Saccharomyces cerevisiae S288C: one gene and its partner. The gene in region 1 interacts genetically with each later gene. Each region holds a gene or a part of one and is shown on either strand. Other genes may lie near its edges.

Region 1 (8,790 bases):
AGTAGAAAAGGAAAGTTAATTGACACAGAAAACAAGCACACGGAGATGGCTGATGAAAAGAGACTGGAGGATTTGAGATCCAAAATAATGGAGTCTATAGGAAAATCAGAAAAGGATGTTGTGCCGATTGAGAACAAAAGATTCAACACGGATAATGCAGTTATAGATACACATTTTAAGAGGCAAAAAAGTGACGGTGAGCTTCCGAAAGCGCCAAAAAGTAGAAACGTTTCACATTCTAATAACAGAGGACCATCGTCAATAATTACTATGAGCACGAATCGAACGACTTATGAACAAACAAGGGCAGGTCCTCATCGTCAAAGTTATCGGGATGCATCGGGAAGATCATATAACAGGGAGAATCGGTATAGTAGTCACAATACTGGGCCCCAATGGAACAACAATCCCTATAATAGGCAACGGGATGAAAGAAGAGGAAGAAATGAAAGGTTCGATAGAAGGGGAAGAAATGGAAACGGAAACTACGATCGTTTCAATTACCAAAGGAAGAACGAAGGTTCTAAATTCAATGGCGACCGTGATAAAAGGCAGTTGCAAACTAATAAATATGACATGAACTATAATTCCCAAAATGTAATGTACCCGGGTTCATCATTCGATTCTCCGGCTTACTACAACATGGCCTCATCCAAGGCAAATTCAAGGCTTGTAATTTCGGGCTTGTCTCAAAGCAGCGACCCCAGCATTGTAGCAAGATTGAAAGATTTGCTGGAAAATTTTATTTCAGGTCTCCAGAAAACTGAGAGTAATGCGGAGGACTTTAAAATTTCCAACTTTTATATTGGTGAAGGAAGGCCGGACCATATTATTGTTGAGTTTAGTTCTCAGATCTGTAGCACTATGGTTTTGGCCTGTCGATCATTCTTTAATGCGAAGCTTGGTACTTTCGACTTAAAATGGAGAAGACCTAATGATTATGTTCAACAACTTGATCATCTGGTCGATTTTTGCAGGGGTACGGTAATTGCATTGGAAAATTTGGAAAATATAGGCGAGGGTGAAGATTATAGAATGAAAGAGCTTTTTTCGTCATTGAATGTAACAAACGGTACCGCTAAGCCACTTTTTTACAAATGTTCGTCCAATACAAACAACACTGGCAAAGAATCCGAATTCACTAAATGTATTCTATTATCGTTTGAAGTCGTCACTCAGGATATTCTTGATAAATTAAAACCATACAAATGGTTCAAGCCAAATGATGGAAAGATATCACAAGTTACTTCATGGATTACGTTTCAAAGCCTGCCAAATCTGGTTACCCAATCTGTTCGTGTTGAATCGAGAGTTTTGTTGCTCTTAAATTGTCTTGATCCATTGGATTTGAAAGATGAAACCTTTATCACAGAAATTAAAGAAACATTAAAGTATAGTATCGCGGGAGCAGATACGATTAAAATATGCCAACCCGGCGTCGATTACAGACTTAATTTTGAAAACTTGGCTTCCGGAGCCGGTAATATTTATATCAAGTTCAAGACCTTGGAGGCAGCAAAACACGCAATGGAAGAATTGCCGGGTACGCAATTCAACGATCGCACTGTTCTGTGTACTTATATAGATGAGGACGACTTTGACATGATGGAAGCAACCCAACTTTCCTAAATGGTCTATTTTGTAGAGCGAAATTAAGTAAAGAATTGAGTATTCATTATGTAGATCTAATCTTTAACGCAGTGAAAAAAGTCCTCGTTTTTGGTGACTTTTTTTGTACAATTACTTTTTTGAAATATAACGAAAGTTAGCAGATTGACTACTAACTTGCGATCTGGAAAATTAAGAGAATTCAAACTTTTTTTGTTGCATGGGTCAATAATCATCATTAGAGCTTGCCTTGATCAATTTCCTTCACATTTTTGGAATAACTAACATTATAAATCAAGCCTAGTATAGCGCGCCAAAGAAGATGGCTAAAGATTTATTGCCCAAGCAAGCGGCCAACGAGCCATCGTTAAAGGACTGTACCTGTAAAAGATGTCTTAAATTGGGTGCTTCAAAAGAAAAAAAGATTAGAAGAAAGAAGAAAGGTGAGGAGAAAAGAGAAAGACATTATGGAAATAGACGAAAGTTAACATTCAACTTTTTGAAGCATACGAACATGGAAAATACAAATTACGACGTAATCACTTCGGTTGGATATCTGAATGAAAAATACGGATTGAAAAAATCACATTACATTGAAAAATTTATCAAATGCATCCATAGAAAAATAAATATCGATGTTAGCAAAATTACGGACGCCTATGTAAACTCGCTAAACCCGTGGGTTAAAGTAAAACTCTTCCTTTTATTGGTGACATTGTCTGAAAAGGGTGGTCCGGAATACTGGCTAGATAAGACAGATGGTGAAAAGAACTCAGAGGCGTCTTCAACAGATAATAGTTTGGAAAATTCTACTAAAGGAGCAGATAGCGCTGGATCTACTGCTTTGAGAGATGAAATGGTCAAAAGCCATAAAAACCTTTTCCCAACTCTTACAGAGCAAATCATACAGCATAACATCAACCAAGATTTTACGGAATCGACTTACGACGAGGATTATGTATTTTCGTCAATTTGGGCAAACTTCATGGAAGGACTGATCAATCACTATTTGGAAAAAGTCATTGTACCTTACTCGGAAATGAAAGTCTGTCAGCAATTATACAAGCCTATGATGAAAATTATCTCCCTCTATAACGAATACAATGAGCTTATGGTCAAAAGCGAAAAGAACGGATTCTTGCCTTCTCTACAAGACTCCGAAAATGTCCAAGGTGATAAAGGCGAAAAAGAGAGCAAGGATGATGCCGTTAGCCAAGAAAGACTGGAAAGAGCGCAAAAGCTGTTATGGCAAGCTCGAGAAGATATTCCAAAAACAATTAGCAAAGAATTAACGTTGTTATCAGAAATGTATTCTACATTATCTGCTGATGAGCAAGATTACGAATTAGATGAATTTGTTTGTTGCGCAGAGGAGTACATTGAATTGGAATACCTACCTGCCCTTGTAGATGTCTTGTTTGCTAATTGTGGCACGAACAACTTCTGGAAAATTATGTTGGTGTTGGAACCCTTTTTCTACTACATTGAAGACGTCGGCGGAGATGATGATGAAGATGAAGATAATGTGGACAATAGCGAGGGCGACGAAGAAAGCTTACTTAGCAGGAATGTGGAAGGAGATGATAATGTGGTTGAGCGTCATTTTAAGCCTGATCCAAGGGTCATTACACTGGAAAAAATATGTGAAGTTGCTGCAAGACAGAAATGGATATAAGGAGAAATCAAAGGAAAAGAAGCAAGATCCAGCGTTTTCTTTTGAACCCTGGAGGATGCTGATGCATTCTCTATTTATTTGGTATCAAATTGTCGTACAGATGATTTATATATGTTAATATTGTTCAGTTTACACTAATTTTAATTTACCGTATTTACTATCCAAAGGAGAAAAAAAGAAGTATATGGACTTCAGTATTTATACAATATCGAGTTAAGATAAGTTAAGTAACAAAAAAAACTGGATAGAGTGGTTTTCTATTAGTGTGACGGAAGATAAAAACAGCCCTCTCGAGGAAGGGTGAATGCATACTTCGAAGGGAATCTAATTTTGTTTACTGGTTTTCTTATAAGATGGCAATTCGGTGTACTTGTGATTTTTCATGTTTTTGAATTTCTTCATCTCCGAGAACTTACCCAAAACACGGCGTTTCTTGTTTAAAGCTTTTCTAGTAACATCTGTGAAATCTCTGTTTTTCCCGTTGACATATAAGAAAAAGTACATGAAGACGAAAAATACCACCACGACAGTAGGGATAGATAATGCAACATAATACCACTGATCATTTGTTATACCTGCATCGTCTAAAGCCAGTTGCTCCTTAGTAGGCTTAAACACTTTTGAACCCTTAGTGATGTATAATAAAATACCGTATTGTAGTGGATCGAAATCTTCATCTGATATGTATATTGGCTGAACTGATACAACGATCCTACGATCAAATTGGTCCTGCAGCCATTCATCTCTGACCTCAACCGGCATTAGACCGTTGTCATTATCAATCCATTCGGAAGAGAAAAAAGTTGCAGGGATATCTCTTTTATAATTGCCCTTCTCTACGGGGTTTTCTTTAACATAGGACAAATGAACACGAACCTTATCAGCAACTTTACCGGAATTCTCATCTGTAAAAAATCTTGTATACCAAGTAACGAAGTAAGTCTTGTCAACCTTCCATCTAGAATTCTCATAAGGGGTACAAAATGGCTCACTGCGGATATCCTTTGCTAGACCTTTATTGAAGTAAAGATTAGGAGTACATCTGACAATAGGATTCAGGGAGACGTAGGTGTCATCTTCATCAATATACTCTTCTTCTACAAAAACTTCATTAGGGCCCATATTGTGAGCCTTCAATTCTTCATAAGAATATGTGTGGGAACTTACCGTTTTGAAGTAAGTTGAGTAATCAGGTCTTCCCTTCTTGGTTCGACCTTTGTTGATTTCTGGTTTAATGGTTTTTGGCCTACCATCATGCTCTAAAGATACCCAAGGTTTCAATGGATTTGGTGTTTCTTCTGGTTTTTCAGAAAAAGTGACACCGGCAATGACCGTAGGAGTGACTAATTCTTTTTGACTTCCATAAACCGTACGTAACCAAGGTTTAACTTCTTCTGAAGTAGTCATTTTCTCCTTTGGACGAACGACTTGTCTTGCACCATGAACATGTTGATAAAGCGATGCCAAAGAAAAGAAGATAAGTATACTATCGTGAAATCTCATTATTCCGCAATTCCTTCAGATCCCGCAGAACTGCTTCCGACTATATTGTCTTAACCTTTTTGCTAAAATATTTTGTTCTTCAAAAGTAAAGAATAGCTTGCTGAGAGAAATGCGTCGAATTGCCTTTCTTATTTTTTTCATGATCTTTTATTCCTTTTCAAAATGTCAACGGCAAAATAATATAATTTCGCCCTTTTCCCGAGATAATTTCACAAAAAAAGCCAACGAACAATTCGAAAGGCGTTTAACATGAATATACATATATACCTGTGTATATTCATAAGATATTGAGAAATGAATCCATGAAACTCATACTGCAGTAGTTGTTACGATTTATAATGCTCTATAAATTACATTAAATGCCTTTATATACAATAAAAATGCGCTAAGAGTAGGTGACTTATTTTGAATCAGAAACTTTTTGCTTTGCTACAGCGGCTGCATTAGTGACAACTTCTTGTAACCATGAAAGTTCAATCCTACTAACATTTCTGGCATATCCCTTCGTAGTAAAGACATACTCCGTGTACATTATACCGGGGCAGCTTTTATTCATAAATAGCATAGATGATGGATGAATGCTTATCGGCTCTCCAGTGGAAACAGTTCTATAAGACCTGTCTGGCATCCCTATAGCTGTATTCTTGATAAACCCAGTTAAGAAACACTTTAAAATTTTCGAAATTAGCTCGCCATCTTCACCAATCTTTTTGGATTCTTCATCCTCTTCACTGATTGAAGAAAACAAACGCTTACAATAAACTCTTAACTGGTCTCTGACACGAATTACATTTTTAAACCCACGTATCGAAATACACAATCCTTTACACCAATCATTTCTTTCAGAGCTTGCATCTTGACTTTTCCCTAGTTCGTAGAAATAGATATCAAAAAGCTCTTTCAGCATGATAAGGTCACCATACCTTTTACCAGCGTTGCATAAGGACAAACGACGCTCGTTCACCTCATCTCTTTCTTCTGGTGACGGATTCAACAGTAAATTTTCCACACTAAGGCAAGAGACGATATCAATGACCTGACTCAAACATCCGACTTCACTGGCTTTAATTAAGACACTACTTAAATGCGGTTGTAGCGGTAACAGAGCCATTTGTTGACCCCGTTTAGTTATCTTTCCACGAGTGTCAAGAGCACCCAATTCATAAAGTTCCTGAAGCCCCATTACTATAGCTTCCTTTCCAGGGTTCTCAAACCAGGTCCAGTTTAGCAGGTCATCAACACCATATCTCTTCAACATTAACACAGGAGATGTGACGTCACTTCTGGCTATTTCAGGTTCACTTTGTTTAGGTAATTTCACATAATCAGACTCACAATAAAGCCTGAAACTCTTTCCTTCACTTTCTCTACCAGCACGACCACTTCTCTGCATCGCACTTGCCTGAGAAATGGGTACGGTAAGTAGAGTGGCTAATCCCAGCTGATGTCTCCAAACTTTGACTTTTCGAAGACCAGAATCAACGACAAATTTAACACCGGATATGGTAACAGATGTTTCTGCAATATTGGTACTAAAGACGACTTTTCTCTTGAAACCCTTTATCGGAGCGAAGACCAAGGACTGTTGGACCGCGGGAAGAGCTGCATATAAAGGATAAGGAACTATTAATGGTACTGGGGCCTCATCTGAAACATACTTTGCAATTTTCTCCATTATAGTCACTGCTTTGTCAATCTCTTCTTGGCCCGGTAAAAAACATAAGATATCTCCCAGTTCTTCACCTTGGTTTATTTGTATACAACACCTGATGACAGCGTCTACTATATCATCTGTTGGCGCCTTCAAGTAGTATTGTTTGACATCAAATTTTCTTCCTTCTACAAATAAGATTGGGGCATTATTGAAGAACTCACTAAATTTTTCGGCTTGCAATGTTGCAGACATAACAATTATTCTCAAATCAGGTCTTGGCCCTTGTATCAAGGATTTTAAGAACCCCAATATCAAATCTGTAAGCACAGTTCTTTCATGCGCTTCATCGATAACGATGACGCTGTATTCTCTAAGGTCACTATTCATCATAAGTTCTCTAAGTAACATACCGTCAGTCAGATACTTAAGTCTTGTTCTTGTAGTAGTCGTATTGTCAAATCTGACAGAATAACCTACTTGTTCACCCAGTTTGCAACCATGTTCTTGAGCAACACGTGTAGCCAAATTGATGGCCGCAACACGACGGGGTTGAGTTACAGCAATCGACCCATGCTTCTTCGTATCATATAATTTTTCTAATACGAATTGCGGAATTTGTGTTGATTTACCAGAACCTGTTTCACCAATAAGGACGGTAACGGGATTGCTTTCAATATATGACATTATTTCTCGCTTGTGTTGGTAAACGGGAAGTGTTTCTCTCATTTTGAGTAAATCGCTTGCCCGACTTTTCAAAGATTTATAAGTAAGGACATTTTCCTTGTTCGAACGTTGGTCTGAAACATGGTCGCCCTCGCCTGAATCATTAAACTTTACGATTTTACTAGCTCTTTTAATCCGAGTGTTATTCGTGAATGGATGTATATTCCTCCTAACCTTTTGTTTTTTAGAAGTATGGTTTGATGCAACTCTACTATTGCTATTTGCTGCCATGATAATGTCTGCAGACTCTTGCAACCTCTTCTTGAGGAATTCTTACATATATATCATAACCTCATCTCATCTCATCGAGCAGAATTTTTTATTTTCAATTTTTCTCATTTTTCCAAATCATTGTAAACGAATAGCCGCCGAAGAAAAACGGTAGAAGAAAAGTACATCTTTCAGTCAGCATTATACGTACAAATTATTAGCGTTATCATCATGATTATAATTACAAAGATACTACACAGTTGTATCGTACAATTATCGAACTTAATTATAGTCAGCTTCCAGAAGAGGGACTTTTTGGAGTACTCGAAGTGACTTTTATCGAATGGAGGTTTAATCCCTTCTTGAACGGTCTTGCCACAAAAGACTCCTGTGATCCAGTGGTTGCTATACTGCTAGAAGAAACCTTTCTCGCGCCCCATACTAAAGGTTTTGAGGAAGTATTGGCTGACCAAGGGCTATTTGATATTTCAGAACCCTCCTCGATATGCAACATAGTATTTCCTGATGACGAGCTCATAGACCCTCTTCTAGGAGATGGGATTGCAGATTTATTAAGAGAAAGCTCTTTGACAGAACTTTCCAAAGATTTTATCCTTTCACTGCGTGTTTCAGTAAGTTTAGTGTGAGTTTCTAGTTCACCCTTTAAGATGGCGTTAGTAGTTAAAAGCTCTTGAATCTCTCTTTCCTGAAGCTGAATTTGTTCTAGTAGCCTAACGTTCATAGACTCTAAGGCTTCCTCTTTTGACTTTTTGTATTCTAACTCTTGCTGCAACTTAGAATTGGAATTCATCTGTCGATCAAAAGATAACTCAAGCTGAGCAATCTGTTCGCATCTTTTCGTTAATATTTCAGAAACTTCTTCGTCAATACGATTGTTAGGATCTTCATTGGTAGAACTACTCAATAATTGGGTAATACTGTCTAATTGAAGCTTTAGTTTGATATTTTCTTTCTTTGTATTTTCTAACATTTTTTTCTCGTCGTCTTCGGGAAGAGATTTATTGTGAAGGCTTTTTAAAGAGTCTATTTCAGCCTTTAGTATATTAATTTGGGCAACATAATTATCATCCTTAATTTTCATGTCCTGAATAAATAGATCCATTTTTTTTTTCAGATTTAAACCTGTGGTGTTATCTGTAACCTTGTTATTGATCTGTCTAATACTGTCACCAAATTCTAGTGTTGATAGGGTAGTTGGAACATTACTTAAGAAACATGTCAATATCACCTTTGTTTTCCTATTTCCCCCAAGGGAATCTTTTAACACTTCAGTTAATTGCGATTCACGGTAAGCAGAACTATGTGATCCTTTTGCGCTGTAGGCTGAATCACGCTCTTTCATTGACAAGGACCGCACAGTGTTTTTCAACGCCTCAATAGATTGGTTTAATTTTTT
Region 2 (11,447 bases), on another chromosome or scaffold:
GCCCGCTATTGAATTTGAGACGCCCACCTTTTTAGTTTCCAATGACGATGAGGTCAGCCAATTCTGTTACGTTTCTGATGATGAATCAAATGGGGAGGTGCTTGAAGTTGGAAAAAACAACTTCTGCGCTTTGTATAACTTAAGTAATCCTTAACCTCTTTCGTACTAGTAACTTTTTCAAAAAAGTTCACTTCGCTGCATGAGCTTGGCGTAATGCGCTTTGAGGGTGATAATGCATTTTATTTCCATATGAAATATGTCTAAAATAGAACAATTCACTAAGAACAAGAAGGCCAAACTAAGCAGAATATGGTAGAGTTGACAATTACGGGTGATGATGATGATATATTGAGTATGTTTTTTGATGAGGAGTTCGTTCCCCATGCATTCGTTGATATACTCTTATCAAATGCCTTAAACGAAGATCAGATTCAAACGCAATCAGTATCCTCATTGCTATTAACCAGGTTGGATTTTTACACAAAGAACCTTACAAAAGAGTTGGAAAGCACCATATGGAATTTGGATAAATTATCTCAAACGTTACCAAGAACTTGGGCATCTTCTAGGTATCACAAAGAAGCAGAACAGAACGATTCCTCATTGTATTCTACTGAATCCTTAAAATCATCGAAGCTTGAATATTACTTAGATACGTTGGCAAGTGCTGTAAGAGCATTAGAAACAGGAATGCATAATGTAACTGAGAAACTAAGCGATCTAGATAACGAAAATAATCGCAATACCAATGTGAGGCAACAACTGCAAAGTTTAATGTTGATTAAGGAGAGAATTGAAAAAGTGGTATATTACCTGGAACAAGTTAGGACCGTTACGAATATTTCGACAGTTAGAGAAAATAATACAACCAGCACGGGGACAGATCTTTCGATAACAGATTTTAGAACATCATTGAAAGCATTAGAGGATACAATCGATGAATCTTTAAGCTCTGCGATTGATAACGAGGCTAAAGATGAAACAAACAAGGATTTGATTGGGAGAATTGATTCACTTTCTGAACTGAAATGTCTGTTTAAAGGCCTAGATAAGTTCTTTGCTGAGTATAGCAACTTTTCGGAGAGCATAAAATCAAAAGCACAAAGTTATTTATCAACCAAGAATATTGACGATGGTATGATATCATAATCGGTGATAAAAACAAAAAATTTGCAATTAACAAAAGAAATTTATAGCATGTTTAAATTCTTATTTCTTTTTACCATTTCCAGTCCTTTTGGTCCACTTGTAATGCATAAAAGGGTAAAAAGGAATTTGTTTAGGAGGACATGCTATTTCAGATAGTTTCTTTTTATTGATTATATAATATAGTGTACAATTTTGAAAATATAACTATTACACACATCTTTTCATTTGGTCACTTACATTTGTATAAACATATAGAGCGCGTCTATTAATAAAAGGCGGTGGACTCTGGACTATCAGATTCCTCCAACAGCGCTTCTTCATCGTCGTGTTTTCCAGTATGGTTTTTTCTGAGGAACTCGAGTCCAAATACGTACTTGAATCTTTGAACGAAAGCAGCCGGAAATACCTTCACTGCTACTTCATCGGGGCAGATTCTCACTAGCACCCCCATGATTAGAGACAACATACCACACAGTACCGCGGTTATCCACATTGATTTGGTTTGTCTGGCAATAGAAAATGGTGCGCCACCAAAAAACATGATTAAAACTTGACAGCTGCCAATGATCGCCATGATCGTGAGAAAATAATAGTTTCTACCCAAGTCTTGGAAGAAATTCAAATTGGCGGCAGAAATCCTGCCTCTCCAGTTTGATATACCATCACCTTCATCTAATTTTCTCGATACTAACATGGTAAAAAATTGCAACCAAACAAAAGTGTTGAATGTCATGGCATTCAGTTGCTGCTGTTGGTGACTTGTTATTTCATCTTCATGTTTCTTGAAGAATAACTCTGGCCCGTAAAAATGCAAAATGAAAGTAACTATCAACTGCAATGTAGCTTGTGATAGAATCATTTTCCAAGTTGACACAGAAATCAAAGAAGTTGAGCGGCCCCTAGGTTTTCTGTCCATGATATTTGGATCGGGTTTATCAGTGGCTAAAGCTAAAGCTGCTAGAGTATCCATGATTAGATTGATCCATAACAGTTGGACCGCCGTCAGTACTGATGTTTCATCACTAGATGCAACGGATGAAACGAACGTTAAAATCACTGCGGTGATATTAACAATTAATTGAAACTGTATGAACTTTTTTATGGAGACTGAAACACATCTTCCCCACTTAATAGCGTTGACAATAGCTGAGAAATCATCAGTCATCAAAATAATGTCAGAAGCCTCTCTGGCAACCTCCGTACCGGAAATACCCATTGAGAAACCAACATCAGCTAGCTTTAAAGCTGGAGCATCGTTCGTACCATCGCCAGTGACCGCAACAACATCTCCCATCCCCTTCAATGTTTCTACTAATAACCTTTTATCCTCAGGCGAAGACCTTGCTAAGACCCTTAAATTTGGCAGGATTCTTATACGTTCGTTTTTCGTTAACTTTCTGAATTCAGTGCCTTCCATTGCAGAATAAGCCTCTGAACTAATATCAGTAGAAAGAATCGCACAATTCCTCGCGATTGCTTTTGCTGTTAATATATTGTCACCAGTAACCATACGCACAGTTACACCAGCACGTTGGCACTGTTGTACTGACTCCCTAACGCCTGCACGTAAAGGGTCTTGAATCCCAAGTAAACCATCTAGAATTAAGCCCTTTTGACTGTTAAATAGCAAGTCAAGAGCAGCTATATTTGGTGAGTCTTTATCACGCAGCTGTTCAGGGGGCCAGCTATCACATTCGCAGAAATCTTTGTGGGCAACACTTATGGCTCTGAGAGCATCGGACGCAAGATTTTTGATTTCATCATCAGTTTCTTTTTTATTGTCCTCATTGATTTCTTCCAAAGTATCATCTGAATTCCTCTTGTACGAACAATTCTTGGAAACAATTTCTGCTGCACCTTTAATGAAAAACCTGTAAAATGGTTTTTTATTTTTGCCTTCTTTGTACTTTACCACTAAGCCGGCCCATTTACGAGAACTTTCAAACGGAATTGTTTGAACAACTTTTTCGATATTAAACTTTTCCATCGGTTGATCTCTCAAATATTGCAATTCTCCCGGTTGTAATCCTAATGATAATCTTGCCAAACTGAGTAAGGCTGTTTCCGTTTTAGAGCCAATAAAGGGTTCTTGCCTACCCTTGTTGACATTTTTGAATAATTGATCCTCGTCATCTTCCCTGTTGCCTTTTTTAAAAAACGATAATCTAGATTTACACTTATCTAAAAAACTCAAATTTTTTGACATATTTTTACTACCATTTGTATTTTTATCGTTTTTCTTATAATCTCTGTTTTCGAAGGCGGTAGAATTCAGGACAATATTGGCTAATAAATCATTTCTCAAGGATGACGAACAATTTTCTTCAAAAACTTTCTTAGAATTCAGCTTCCTTTGTTCGCTAACGGGCAACGATTTACTATCATCAAATTTAGAATTGCCCGGGAAGCCACGAACGACAGTCATGACATTTTCTGTCAAAGTGCCAGTCTTATCAGAGCACACTGCAGTAGCAGATCCCATCGTTTCACAGCTTCTTAAAACCCGTACTAAATTACCGTCTTTTGTCATTCTTGTTGTTGCAAACGCTAAGGCCAAAGTTACAGCTAATGGTAAACCTTCCGGAACAGCCACCACAATAACCGTGATAGATGTGATAAAAATGTTCATAAATTTAGAACCCTTTTGAGCGGGATCTAGATCATGGAACCTGCCATCCTCAGGTATTATGTAAAATAAGTACCTAGTGAAAAGGACCAAGAAAAGAATTATAGCAGACACGCAACCGTAAACGGATATATTATCAGCCAATTGGCTCAAATGTAACTGTAATGGAGTACTTTCAGGTTCGGCATTTAATGAAGTCATGGTTTGACCGTAAACTGAGTTTATACCCACGGACGTGATGACACCCCTGCCCAAGCCAGAGAGAATTCTGGAACCTGAAATCAACATACAATCAGCAATCTTGTTACCGTCTTCGTTAACGTCACCTATATCTAATGGTTTGCTATGGTTATGACTATCGATAGAATTAAATTTTTTGAAATCTCTTAATGAGTTATCCACCGGAAATTTCTGTATTGTGTTAGATTCACCAGTGATGGATGATTCATCTGCCTCACACTTCCCTGATATCATAACACAATCAGCGGGGACAACATCACCGGTTTGTAATGAAATGACATCACCGACTAAAACGTGGTGAATGGAAATTAATATTTCCTGATCATTTCTTATGACTATAATTTTACGGTTTTCCTTCTTTTTATTTAGCTTTGCAAATTGCAACTCCTTCTGGTAATCGTTAGCGGCACTCACTAGAACTACCACAAAGACCGCAATCATGATAGCAACCCCTTCAATCCAGTCAACTTGCTTAATTTTATTTCCTTCAGGATCATACTGTGGAGGTTGCATCCATAGTTCGTATAGACCTAAAACAAAGGAAACAACAGCGGCGACTGTCAGTAATTGCATTGTTTTGTCATTAAAAGCAGCCCATACTAATTGTAAAAAAGACTTTGGTATTCTTTCAGGAAGTGAATTATCGCCATAATTTTTATACCGGTTTGTCTTTCGATAATTTGATATTTCTGGAAGAGAAATGCCTGCATTTTTATCTGTTTTCAAGTATTTGAAGAGGCTGTTAGACTCATATCCAAATAATCTGACAAATGATCTTATTGATTTAGGGTTATGAAGATCCGAAAGTTGACTTTTTGATAATTTGAAATTATCGTAGACTCCGTTCTCATTTCCCGTATACGATGGTTTGTTATTTTCATTATTCGCTAGTAAAGCAGAATTTTCGTCTTGTCTAGACATTATTTTTTTTGTTACGCACACAGTTTTTTTTTTTTTAGAACCACTTTTCTAAACTTTATTTGTTCAAGTTTTATTTCTTTAATTCAATGTCGTATATATGTGATACAATTCTCTTAATACACTTAGTTTTTACTGGAGGCGCATGAGTTTTTTGACGTTTTCTTAAGCCTTTCTATTGAATGAAAATTACCAGAAAAGCCCCTTCTTCCTCAAATTTATGAAAAAATGTTTATTCTTAACCTAAGCCTTCTCAATTGAATCGTGCCAACCTGACTAAAATGTAGTTTGGGGAAGTGAAAAAATCTGAAGAGATTATTTAATTTTTCGTTAAGCCTGCAATTTATTTTGGTAATAATTGCTAGAAAGAAATCGAATATTTAACGCAATTCAAATAAAGCCTTTCCTTGGGGGGGGGCTGATACTATTTGAATGTTTTTGGAAGGCGCCCATTAAATGCAATGCCAAGTGGCGATGATAATGAATTATGAAGATTAGCATTTGTTTAAAAAGCGTGGAGGGCGCTTCTAGGGCCTGAGCCTCCTAATTTTCTTTTCCCCCTGACAAATGATGGAGAAGCTTCTTTGCCGGGTAAAAACCCTTTTTTTTTATCTTTTCTGCGGGCGGATAAAGCTGTTAGTGCCACATGTTTCTATACAAACTGTATTAAAGTAAAAAAATTAATAGACAATTTAGGCCCCTCAAATGGGTAAAATAGAACATATATCAGTATGCACAGCTCACTATTTTAAAAGCGGCAGGCTTGGAGCTGTAGGACCACACTACTGCGACAAAAAAAGATAAAGTTGTGTTTTATTTATGTTTTGCCGTAAGATCGATACTTTTCTTATTCTCATCAAGAAAACACAAACTGCCAAGAACTAAGAAAAGAAGAGCCGTAAACAATGCTTGTAAACCGAAGTATGAAAAGAAAAACTTGATAATTAAATCATCCCCTTTGGCTCAAATATTTATTTTGTATTATTCATGCTTGATTAGTTTAAGAGTGAACTTTACTATCTTAATTTTATTTTAGCCTTTTCAGCTTATGGCACAATAGTGAAAACAAGATCATGTTAAGTTCTGTACCAGAAGAGAGAACCGATAAATAGTTTAATAAGCAGATCAATGCCAAGAATAAGATAAAACAACTATGGAGACTGATGTAAATATACTTGAAGCCGGGCAATAATATAAGCACCGTGAGCCGATTCTCCTCGATCCTACACTGCACCATATAACGAATGGTCTTGGACTATGGAAGGCAGTAACCAACAACAGAAAAGAGAGATTAATTAGAAAAAGACATTTCTCGAGAGAAAAAAAGTAAAGACCTTATCGTACAACTGTTACTGACATTTTTATTTTAAGAAGCTAAACCCTTATTATTAGCGCGCCCAAGTAGGCGCAAAACTAGAGAAGTCGCAGATGCATCCACCCACTTTTTGCCTTATTTTTCCTTAATTTCAGAAATATAGTTAAAATGAAAAACAAGGACAAGAAAAGAACGGGAAAAAGAAAAGGGGGATTAGCAAACAAAGAAAAGTCCAATAAAATGATTACAGACAGCATTGGATGCGATGAGATGGCAACCAGCGAGATGAGAGCATAGGATTTTCATCCTAGCTGCTTTAGGGAAGACGCACAAAACTTTGTTATGTTTGTAGTAAATATAGAAAAGAAAACAAAAAAGTGCTCGGACGAATCCGGTAGAGCTGTGTCTAGCCTCAATAAGTTTGCCGCATTTGGTAAATCAAAACTGTTTTTCTCTCCGTCATTTGTTTTGAAGCTTGTTCTGTTAGTTTAGGGAAATAGAAAAAAAAAAAAAGGGAAAAAGAAAGAAATCATATGCCCAATGGAGTACGAGAATTGGGGAAAAAGCCTCCATCGGGTTTTTAAACGGGCGTATACATGCTTACCACACTCCCGTAAGCAAGAACAAAGAATTTATCTTGATAAACTGCGTAATAAGTCAATCAATTGCTCTATATACGCGCATATACGTAAAACACAGAATCACATTTTAGTCAGGCCCAAGCCGTATAGGGCGAAAAAGCCCGCGCTTATCAAGTCATCGTAACGAATCAGATCTTTCCAACTGCTATCGCATACGTAAGAGAATTGAAATATTTCTCGGGTACGATACGACATTTTTTCTTTACATTTCTTTACTAAACCCGACGGCACGGGAAAGAAGATGAGACTCGGAACGGAAGCTAGAAGAAAAAGGAAGGACACAGAGATTTTCCGAGATTAACTCAGCTTTGCTAAAGTGCAAAAAGTCGTTTACGTCACCATCGCTGACGGGGAAAAAACAAAACAAGCTTCCTGAAACGGAGAAACATAAACAGGCATTGCTGGGATCACCCATACATCACTCTGTTTTGCCTGACCTTTTCCGGTAATTTGAAAACAAACCCGGTCTCGAAGCGGAGATCCGGCGATAATTACCGCAGAAATAAACCCATACACGAGACGTAGAACCAGCCGCACATGGCCGGAGAAACTCCTGCGAGAATTTCGTAAACTCGCGCGCATTGCATCTGTATTTCCTAATGCGGCACTTCCAGGCCTCGAGACCTCTGACATGCTTTTGACAGGAATAGACATTTTCAGAATGTTATCCATATGCCTTTCGGGTTTTTTTCCTTCCTTTTCCATCATGAAAAATCTCTCGAGACCGTTTATCCATTGCTTTTTTGTTGTCTTTTTCCCTCGTTCACAGAAAGTCTGAAGAAGCTATAGTAGAACTATGAGCTTTTTTTGTTTCTGTTTTCCTTTTTTTTTTTTTTACCTCTGTGGAAATTGTTACTCTCACACTCTTTAGTTCGTTTGTTTGTTTTGTTTATTCCAATTATGACCGGTGACGAAACGTGGTCGATGGTGGGTACCGCTTATGCTCCCCTCCATTAGTTTCGATTATATAAAAAGGCCAAATATTGTATTATTTTCAAATGTCCTATCATTATCGTCTAACATCTAATTTCTCTTAAATTTTTTCTCTTTCTTTCCTATAACACCAATAGTGAAAATCTTTTTTTCTTCTATATCTACAAAAACTTTTTTTTTCTATCAACCTCGTTGATAAATTTTTTCTTTAACAATCGTTAATAATTAATTAATTGGAAAATAACCATTTTTTCTCTCTTTTATACACACATTCAAAAGAAAGAAAAAAAATATACCCCAGCTAGTTAAAGAAAATCATTGAAAAGAATAAGAAGATAAGAAAGATTTAATTATCAAACAATATCAATATGACTGATACATCATCCTCTTCATCATCCTCTTCAGCATCTTCTGTTTCAGCTCATCAGCCAACTCAAGAAAAGCCTGCTAAGACTTACGATGACGCTGCATCTGAATCTTCTGACGATGACGATATCGATGCTTTAATCGAAGAACTACAATCTAATCACGGTGTCGACGACGAAGACAGTGATAACGATGGTCCAGTTGCCGCCGGTGAAGCTAGACCAGTTCCAGAAGAATATTTACAAACTGACCCATCTTACGGTTTAACTTCCGATGAAGTTTTGAAAAGAAGAAAGAAGTACGGTTTGAATCAAATGGCTGACGAAAAAGAATCTTTAGTCGTTAAGTTCGTTATGTTTTTCGTCGGTCCAATTCAATTCGTTATGGAAGCCGCTGCTATTTTGGCTGCCGGTTTGTCCGATTGGGTCGATTTCGGTGTTATCTGTGGTTTGTTAATGTTAAACGCTGGTGTTGGTTTCGTTCAAGAATTCCAAGCTGGTTCTATTGTCGATGAATTGAAAAAGACTTTGGCTAACACTGCTGTTGTTATCAGAGACGGTCAATTGGTTGAAATTCCAGCCAACGAAGTCGTCCCAGGTGATATTTTGCAATTGGAAGATGGTACTGTTATCCCAACTGATGGTCGTATTGTCACTGAAGACTGTTTCTTGCAAATCGATCAATCTGCTATTACTGGTGAATCTTTGGCTGTCGACAAACATTACGGTGACCAAACTTTCTCTTCTTCCACTGTTAAGAGAGGTGAAGGTTTCATGGTTGTTACCGCTACCGGTGACAACACTTTCGTTGGTAGAGCTGCTGCTTTGGTTAACAAAGCCGCTGGTGGTCAAGGTCATTTCACTGAAGTTTTGAACGGTATTGGTATTATCTTATTGGTTTTGGTCATTGCCACTTTGTTGTTGGTCTGGACTGCTTGTTTCTACAGAACCAACGGTATTGTTAGAATCTTGAGATACACTCTAGGTATTACTATTATTGGTGTCCCAGTCGGTTTGCCAGCTGTCGTTACCACCACTATGGCCGTCGGTGCTGCTTACTTGGCTAAGAAACAAGCCATTGTTCAAAAGTTGTCTGCTATTGAATCCTTGGCTGGTGTCGAAATCTTGTGTTCCGACAAAACCGGTACTTTGACCAAGAACAAGTTGTCCTTGCACGAACCATACACTGTTGAAGGTGTTTCTCCAGACGACTTGATGTTGACTGCTTGTTTGGCTGCTTCCAGAAAGAAGAAGGGTTTGGATGCTATTGATAAGGCTTTCTTGAAGTCTTTGAAGCAATATCCAAAGGCTAAGGACGCTTTGACCAAGTACAAGGTTTTGGAATTCCATCCATTTGACCCTGTCTCCAAGAAGGTTACTGCCGTTGTCGAATCTCCAGAAGGTGAAAGAATTGTTTGTGTTAAGGGTGCTCCATTATTCGTCTTGAAGACTGTCGAAGAAGATCACCCAATCCCAGAAGATGTCCATGAAAACTACGAAAACAAGGTTGCTGAATTGGCTTCTAGAGGGTTCCGTGCTTTAGGTGTTGCTAGAAAGAGAGGTGAAGGTCACTGGGAAATCTTGGGTGTTATGCCATGTATGGATCCACCAAGAGACGATACTGCTCAAACTGTTAGCGAAGCTAGACACTTGGGTCTAAGAGTTAAGATGTTAACTGGTGATGCTGTTGGTATTGCTAAGGAAACTTGTAGACAATTGGGTTTGGGTACCAACATTTACAACGCTGAAAGATTAGGTCTAGGTGGCGGTGGTGACATGCCAGGTTCTGAATTAGCTGATTTTGTTGAAAATGCCGATGGTTTCGCTGAAGTTTTCCCACAACATAAATACAGAGTTGTTGAAATCTTGCAAAACAGAGGTTACTTGGTTGCTATGACTGGTGATGGTGTTAACGATGCTCCATCTTTGAAGAAGGCTGATACTGGTATTGCTGTCGAAGGTGCTACTGATGCTGCCAGATCTGCTGCTGATATTGTTTTCTTGGCTCCTGGTCTATCTGCTATTATTGATGCTTTGAAGACCTCCAGACAAATTTTTCACAGAATGTACTCTTACGTTGTTTACCGTATTGCTTTGTCTCTACATTTGGAAATCTTCTTGGGTCTATGGATTGCTATTTTGGATAACTCTTTGGACATTGATTTGATTGTTTTCATCGCTATTTTCGCTGATGTTGCTACTTTGGCTATTGCTTACGATAATGCTCCTTACTCTCCAAAGCCCGTTAAATGGAACCTACCAAGATTATGGGGTATGTCTATTATTTTGGGCATAGTTTTAGCTATAGGTTCTTGGATTACCTTGACTACTATGTTCTTACCAAAGGGTGGTATTATCCAAAACTTCGGTGCTATGAACGGTATTATGTTCTTGCAAATTTCCTTGACTGAAAACTGGTTGATTTTCATTACCAGAGCTGCTGGTCCATTCTGGTCTTCTATCCCATCCTGGCAATTGGCTGGTGCCGTCTTCGCTGTCGACATCATCGCTACCATGTTTACCTTATTCGGTTGGTGGTCTGAAAACTGGACTGATATTGTTACTGTCGTCCGTGTCTGGATCTGGTCTATCGGTATCTTCTGTGTTTTGGGTGGTTTCTACTACGAAATGTCCACTTCTGAAGCCTTTGACAGATTGATGAACGGTAAGCCAATGAAGGAAAAGAAGTCTACCAGAAGTGTCGAAGACTTCATGGCTGCTATGCAAAGAGTCTCTACTCAACACGAAAAGGAAACCTAATCCTGTTGAAGTAGCATTTAATCATAATTTTTGTCACATTTTAATCAACTTGATTTTTCTGGTTTAATTTTTCTAATTTTAATTTTAATTTTTTTATCAATGGGAACTGATACACTAAAAAGAATTAGGAGCCAACAAGAATAAGCCGCTTATTTCCTACTAGAGTTTGCTTAAAATTTCATCTCGAATTGTCATTCTAATATTTTATCCACACACACACCTTAAAATTTTTAGATTAAATGGCATCAACTCTTAGCTTCACACACACACACACACCGAAGCTGGTTGTTTTATTTGATTTGATATAATTGGTTTCTCTGGATGGTACTTTTTCTTTCTTGGTTATTTCCTATTTTAAAATATGAAACGCACACAAGTCATAATTATTCTAATAGAGCACAATTCACAACACGCACATTTCAACTTTAATATTTTTTTAGAAACACTTTATTTAGTCTAATTCTTAATTTTTAATATATATAATGCACACACACTAATTT

Evidence for each region.
Region 2: mutations in PSG1 (region 1) and PMA1 together harm fitness more than expected from each alone (negative genetic interaction), as found in Saccharomyces cerevisiae (2 studies listed by BioGRID).

What each region holds. Positions count from the first base shown.
Region 1 is NC_001143.9:287,449-296,238, reverse strand, and holds PSG1 (Psg1p), read right to left. Parts: upstream 4,787-8,790; coding exon 3,608-4,786; downstream 1-3,607. Other genes in the region: MUD2 (Mud2p), read left to right, coding at 46-1,629; AAN1 (Aan1p), read left to right, coding at 1,931-3,283; DHR2 (RNA helicase), read right to left, coding at 5,187-7,394; SMY1 (Smy1p), read right to left, coding at 7,666-8,790. UniProt on the Saccharomyces cerevisiae protein: With EXP1, the specific cargo receptor protein for the plasma membrane ATPase PMA1, is involved in the transport and/or maturation of PMA1.
Region 2 is NC_001139.9:479,410-490,856, reverse strand, and holds PMA1 (H(+)-exporting P2-type ATPase PMA1), read left to right. Parts: upstream 1-8,190; coding exon 8,191-10,947; downstream 10,948-11,447. Other genes in the region: RPN14 (Rpn14p), read left to right, coding at 1-154; Golgi transport complex subunit COG7, read left to right, coding at 310-1,149; calcium-transporting ATPase PMC1, read right to left, coding at 1,415-4,936; YGL006W-A (uncharacterized protein), read right to left, coding at 5,324-5,434; BRP1 (Brp1p), read right to left, coding at 7,220-7,597; YGL007C-A (uncharacterized protein), read left to right, coding at 7,830-7,916. UniProt on the Saccharomyces cerevisiae protein: The plasma membrane ATPase of plants and fungi is a hydrogen ion pump. The proton gradient it generates drives the active transport of nutrients by H(+)-symport. The resulting external acidification and/or internal alkinization may mediate growth responses.